2 linked regions of the Nothobranchius furzeri genome follow. The protein of the gene in region 1 interacts with the protein of each later gene in a pairwise test. Links are inferred from orthologs where the notes say so. Each region holds a gene or a part of one and is shown in the gene's direction. Other genes may lie near its edges.

Region 1 (2,889 bases):
ATGTTCATATAGGTTTTGTTCAAGGAGAGCAGAATGAAAACGTGAGGCTAGATAGACAATATACAGGTGTAATATGAACAAGTACGCACATACACCGTATAAAACACATATTTGGTTTGCTAAACATAATTTTCTCTTTTTTTGCATCATTTGTGCTCTTTTCCTTTTGACTCCAGTGCTAGCCACCCTCCTGGCCCCTCTGGGTGCCTATCACAGGGTTTTCCAGGGTGTGTGTGCGAAGCTGGAGCCAGCCCTGCAGAGGCTGGACTTCAGCGTTCGTGGATACATGATGTCAAAGCCCATCGACAACCAATGTAAGTCACAGAAACATGTTTAGCCCTGTTATTCATTTTATAATACCAATCAGATCCGTTAGATTTTAGCAGAAACTCGTCGTTTCTCACTTTTAACATTTCAGCAAGAAGTTTTTTTTTCATTTACTGATAGTTGGCAGGCTGTTCTGTTGTAATGGCTGGTTCTTTAGCGCCCTCCGGTGGCCGTAAAAAGATGTTCAGTTTTATTAAACAGATATGTTGTTTTGCTAGAAGAACTTTCCTGTTGCCATTTTGTCTGAGGCACTTTGTTGTTTAATTGCTAGAGTCACATTAGTTTTACTTCTGTTTTTTTTCTGGGTTTATTTCATATAGAAACTGAATGCAACAGCAGTCCAGAGTCTTAAAAGGATGATTTAGTTGTTCATAATTCAAAATCTGATAGGATGTGATGAGAAAAGCTGCTTTTTATTATTGTTTGTTGTTCTATAAATTCAGTGCAACTCCGCAGAGCTTTGTGTGTATTGTTAGTTTGGTTTTGGAACATGTTATAAGGGCCTAAGGGCAATAATGAGTTATTTATCTGCTTCATCTAAACTTTCCAGTCCTGCGAATGCCGATCCGCAGTGCAGCCTCGGGTGAAGCCAGCGACAGTGAGGAGGAGTTGGCTGCTTTCTGCCCAACTGTAAGTTCCTTAAACCTTTATATTCAAGTTGAGTTTTTCTGATTTGTGAACAGAAGCATCTCAACTACAATAGAAACAGCAATAATACGTCTGTTACCCTTTCAGTTTATTCAGTATTTAGCACAACCTAAAGCGCAGCATTGATCTAATACCAAGCGTTTCCTCTACATCTCTTGGTTTGTCCTTTAGCACACCTCTGGTTACAGTAGCACATCAAGCACTTTTCCTGTTGTGGTTGGCTTGCCACTGCTTTTTTGTTTATGCTGAAGTCTGTGAGAGCAAACAGGGAGGACATAAAACCGAAAGCATTTCTTATGGTAGAGGGAAATAGAAAAGAAGCGTAAAGATTTTTTACTTTTGTCTAACACAGGAAATTAAAAATATGTTACTCTTTTTTTGTCTTCCAGTTTGATGATGCTGTTGTTGCAAAAGAACTTGCCTTGACCGACTCTGAACACTCCGATGCCGAGGTGTCCTACACTGATAACGGGACATTCAACCTGTCGCGAGGTCAGACCCCGCTCACAGAGGGCTCTGAAGGTGAGGCTCCTGCTTTTTGTTGCTTGATCTTCTTTTTTGATCTCTCCTCTGACGTCTTTCTGTCTGCATTTGATCAGATCTCGACAGACACAGTGACGCAGAAGAATCTTTTGCCCAAGACCTCCCAGACTTCCCATCCATTAACCCCGATGCCACCCTGATGGATGATGAAGACGACACAAGCATCGGACTGCCCAGTCTGGGTCTGTCTGGACCTGCTAGTCACCGGGCCTCAGTGCTGGATGTTGATGCTCATCTGGACTCGGATCAGGAGGATCTGGACTCAGAACTTTCTCTCGGCGGTCTTCCACCTGTCTCAGATATCAGTGGAGACTTGGCTGGAGTCATTGCCAGCAACATGATTCAGGCAGCGCTGGCGGGCGCAATGCAACCTCGGCCTCCCACCACTCAACGCAGGCAAGGTCACCCTCAGGTCGGGGGCCACCGGAGCTACCGCAAACAGTCCAGCTCTGAGTTTGACACGGACTTGGATGCAGAAGACTTTGAAATGCTGGATCAGTCTGAACTGAACCAGATGGATCCCTTCGGAGGGGGGGGTTCTAGACGGGGTGACAGCCAGGGGTCTAACTTCTTCTCCAGCCTGCTTGGTAAACCACAGTGAAGTGTGTGTGTGTGTTTTGCTGAGGGTGTGCAGTTATGTGGGTAGAGTGTAAAATGATGATTGTGTGTGTGTGTGCGTGCGCGCACGCGCGTGTGTGTGCGTGTGAGGTGATTTTAGGTTCCAGCAGCCCTGCTTCTGGTAGGCATCAGTAAGTCACTGTGAAGTATTTCATTCTCCTCTTTTTAAATCCTTGTTTTATACGTTTGAATTCTTGATGATGGAGTTTTTAGGTTGTAGGCTGAGCAATAGGAAACACAAAAACAAAGTAAACTACATCACACATTTGGGTACACGGCATTGTTCGTACCCAGAACACACAGCTCCGCCCTGTGAAACCTTTTTTTACACAGAGGACTTGACCTTCAGGGCTTTTTATTGTAGGACCAAATGTGACATTCCTGTTGCTTAACCTGAGCCGTCTTTGATGAGTAATGACAGCATGAAGGAGCTTTTAATGTTAAAGTGCATTCAGTCATTGCTGGAGTCGTCGATCCTTCATGAACCAGTTATCAAACCTTTGAGATGGGATTTAGTGGTGGGACGTTTCTGTCCTCTTATGAGAGGGGGGGTTATTTTATGTTGCATGTTTTCAGAGCTTTTAGCTTTTAAACTCTTGTTAGCTGTTGTGTTTTCTAAAATTTCACTGATCTGCATAAAAATTTGAATTGTCAGGATGACTCCGCTGTTTTGTTTTTCTGATTACAGAAGCAAACATCTGTCTTTGGGAGCTTATTTAGTCGGCCACATCAGTCTTACCTGAACCAGCAGAG
Region 2 (4,085 bases), on another chromosome or scaffold:
TGCTTCAATTTAAGTGAAAACTAATCATGGCTGTTTCGACCACGCCAGTCACGTACTTTGAGATTGATCAGCTCGTAAACGTTCGTAATTAGCATGACTACAAATCAGACATCAGTACATTGCAGATATGACGATCACCACACAATCTCCTCTCCCCTAGCTTAGCTGCTACTTACTAAATAGCCAGATTTAAGGTGTTTTTTTCCCTCCGGAAGGAAGGATTTTGAAGTTAGTTGAACTTAGACGTTCGAGGACGTCATTTTTTCTCTCTTTTTTTCTCCATGTCTGGTTCGAGGACGTCACTTTCTTGAAGCACATTTGTAGTCCTGGACTTATTTTCGCACAAAACCTAAAGTAACGTTTCCCCCATTCAAAAATAAGCACTTTCTTGGTATCTAATTGCGTCTTTAAAATTCACAGAGATCATATGTGAAAACCATGGCACATAAGCGGAATTAGAAAATTGCGTTTTCAGCCCCTTTGACTTGCATTCATAATTTCGTTCTTCCGGGGACCCATGTAGACCCAGTAGATGGGCGTGACTTGGGCTCCCAATTGACTCACGATGGGGAAGGCTGTTGGTTTAACGTCCAGGAAACAGCAGAGAATGTAGCTAGTAGAAGCTAACTGTTGGCATGAGCAACTCGACCACATGGCAGAACTCCTCCAAGCTTGTGTTATTAACAGAGATAAAACATCAGTGTTGTAAGTCAGTGGTAGAGTCACATTGCTGTCAGCCATTTTGAGGTGAGATGTCCAAATATCAGGAAATACGACTCCAAAACCTGTCGTCTGAAGCTCAGCTGTGATATTGGTCACTGCTAGTTCCTACTTGGAGCTCCACAGGGTACGGTGCTCTCACCCTTTCTCTTCACCTTCTACACCTTGGTCTTCACCTGCAACACCAGCAGCTGTCACCTCCAGAATTTCTCTGATCATTCCCCTCAGACACACAGCCATTGTTGGCTGTGTGTCTGAGGGGAATGATCTGGAGTACAGTTCAGTTGGACTTCGTGGACTGGTGTGAGCATAACCACCTTCGCTTGAACACCAGTAAGACAGAGGAAATGGCGATTGACTTCCAGAGAAACACTCTTCCTCACCAGTAAACATCCAAGGTGCAGACACTGAGGTGGTGGATACCTTTAAGTACCTGGGTGTTCACCTCAACAGCAAATTGAACTGGTCCAACAACACAGATGCTCTGTATAAGAAGGGCCAAAGCCGCCTCCACCTTCTGAGGATGTTGAGGTTTTTCAGAGTTAATTCCCAGCTGCTGAAATCCTTTTATCACTCTGTTGTGGTCTGTTGGGGCGCATGCAGCTCTGACTGAAACAGCAAGACTGAACAAGCTAGTTCACAAAGCTAGCTCGGTTCTGGACTGCCCACTGGATTCAGCTGAGGAGACGTGTGAAAGGAGGATGCTGAGGAAAGTGACCTTCATCTTAAAAATCCCCTCCCACCCACTGCATTCCACTGTGGAGACCATGGACAGCTCCTTCAGATGCCGTCTGAGACATCCCAGATGTAAAACAGAATGCTACCGTAGACCTTTCATCCCCTCTGCAGTAAGAGTGTATAACTCCTCAGTTTAAGCTGTACTGGTATTATCCTGGTACACAATAACACCAATGCAATATCTATTGTGTGTTCAATACTCGTTCAATACCGGATTTACATAGTATGTCTGGATAGTTATAGAAACTAAGTTTTCTGTTATTTTTATTCGTGGCCTTTAGTGGTCGAAGGTTACAATTTTAGACTACTGCCTATGTGTATATACATGTACTTTGTTATTATTTTTTCTTCAAATTATTCTCTCATGTGTTGGTGCTGCTGTAACAAGCAAATTTCCCCAGGAATAGAATAAAGTCTATTCTATTCCTGGAAATGGTCACTGGTGTTTTCCCCCCAAATATGACATACAAGACATTCATTCCTACTAGTGACTACTGCAAATGTGTTAAATGAGTGAACCACTCCTTTAAAAAAAAACACCTGAATAGAGTTCTGTGGCTTATTGAGCTTTGTAATCATTAAACACTTAATGATACATGGAGCTCCTTTCACTACTGGTTAAACATCACATTTCTGCTGAAAATGTCAGAGTGAAAACTGTGTCGAGTAAATATTCCTACTTCCTGTAAAGAGAGACTTCTGTTTTTAAACATATGTGCAGTGAATGTTTTTGTTTTAGAGTTATGGCTTTTAAAACAAATCTCAGATTTAAATGTTACTGTGATCGGTTTTATGGTGATGATCATTGTTATCACCATAAAATGTAGCCGTGGCTTCTCTCTGACAACAACAGGACCCAATTCCATATAATATTGCCGCTTTACAATTTAAGATGGAGGCTGATCATTTTTAATCCAAGGAATTCAGACCAACATTTGTTGGGTCACAAACCAGTTTAGATGATCAGAATGGTAGATAATGACAAAATACAGATTCTTCAGATTTGTCCTTTTTCAGAGCTGTGACATTAGATATTAATACACACTATTAAAGACAACTTTATATTATATGAAAACAAAGTGTGTTCTGATCTTCAGGTGACCGTGCCGTCTCTGAACGATGTGCTGAAGTTCTTCCTGGAGAAGACAGAGTACCGTCTGTGTCCTTATGTGGATTCTCAGCCCTACGACACTCATATCTGTGAGTCTGGACACACAGCTGCTCTAGAGATGATCAGCTTCAGCTGCTGACCGGTGTTTCTGATCCACAGTACCGTCCTCTGCTCCAGAGTGTGTCAGCATCCCCTCTCCATCATCCGTAGCGCCACCCAAAGCACAAGTAGCACCGCTGCTGCGTTCACAGACCAAAGAGAAGCTCCCTCCGCCTCCGCACAAACCTGATGAAGGAGAGTACGTGGTGCCAGATGATTCTCTTGATCACAACAGGAAGTTAGGTGAGTGTCCCTTCATGGTTTGTATGATGAAGCCAGCTTTAATGAATACATTTGTTAAAAAATAATTTGTTTTTGTTCAAACAAGCTCAGCTGGGTAATGAGCTTCGAAAGGCTTTAAAGACGAGGAGAGAAAATATCTACAGCGAATCTGGACAAGATGAAGCTGATGCTTATGAGAATGAGGCTGATCGGAGGGCCAGCTGGACGGTGCAGTGCGGCGGTCCAAAGGCATAAGTCTCATCTTTCTCTGTGAATCTGACTGAGCTCAGCCTCCACAGGCGTTACTGCTGAGGAGCTTCAATGGTGCTGTGAGGTCAAAGGTCAGGGATGAAGGAAATTCTAGCAGATCATTCAATGGCCCTAAAAGTCTCTGTGTGTGTAATCTAAAGACATCTGCTGTTAAAGCAGAGAGAAAAATACACTAAACTTGGTTAATTTAAGGACATTTTGAGGATTCGTTCAGGAACATCCTCTGTTCTCATGTTGGTGTAGATTCTTAGATTCTGGTTTTATTTTTACTTTCACTAGTTGCTTAAGAGAGGGTATATTCAACGTTAATAATTAAAAAACCTAAACTTTTCCAATACATCGTGAAAAACTTTAAACTGAAGATGACCACTTCCTTTCATTACATCTTTGTTTTCCTGCTCTGGATCTTTGTTTCATGCTTTTATTTTGTTTCTTTGAGATTTTTAAACATTTTAATGCTGCTGATTATATTCATGCTCATGTAAAGAGTTGTAGAATATGTTTTATGATGGCAGAAACACTAGTCTTAACTCATTCACTGCCAGCCATTTCCTGATCAGAAAAGCTTTTCGCTGCCCGCGTTTTTCAGTTTTCACTGTTTTTTAAGGAGACAGTTAACGTTCCGCACTAGGATGATGTCATTGTCAAAACTACCAAAACAAAGAGTAGACTCACCTCTTACATCAGGAAGAATCCGCGCATTTAATCTGTTCTTTCATAATTTGTTGTCGAATTGTAATCGGCAGAAGCTTTCCTGGTTCGTGCCTCACTTTTTTTACAGCAGCGGCCCAAAACGATCTCCTAACACATGGATTTTCTGCTTCCTGATCACGTGACGTGTGATGTATGGGGATGAAGATCGGCTTTAGAGCTAAGATGTTTGTTCTCACAATGTGGGGGCCCGTTCCGACGCCCACACAGTAAA

What was found.
Region 2: the proteins of retreg3 (region 1) and signal-transducing adaptor protein 1 interact in binary tests that used the Homo sapiens proteins (3 or more experiments, as listed by UniProt). The two-hybrid records come from large-scale screens. The link is inferred for Nothobranchius furzeri from reciprocal best matches to the Homo sapiens genes RETREG3 and STAP1.

What each region holds. Positions count from the first base shown.
Region 1 is NC_091745.1:7,580,235-7,583,123, forward strand, and holds the end of retreg3 (reticulophagy regulator 3), read left to right. Parts: intron 1-176; coding exon 177-314; intron 315-877; coding exon 878-957; intron 958-1,364; coding exon 1,365-1,497; intron 1,498-1,574; coding exon 1,575-2,119; 3' UTR 2,120-2,350; downstream 2,351-2,889. UniProt on the Homo sapiens protein: Endoplasmic reticulum (ER)-anchored autophagy regulator which exists in an inactive state under basal conditions but is activated following cellular stress.
Region 2 is NC_091741.1:91,828,577-91,832,661, reverse strand, and holds the end of signal-transducing adaptor protein 1, read left to right. Parts: intron 1-2,555; coding exon 2,556-2,658; intron 2,659-2,728; coding exon 2,729-2,911; intron 2,912-2,996; coding exon 2,997-3,145; 3' UTR 3,146-3,286; downstream 3,287-4,085. UniProt on the Homo sapiens protein: In BCR signaling, appears to function as a docking protein acting downstream of TEC and participates in a positive feedback loop by increasing the activity of TEC.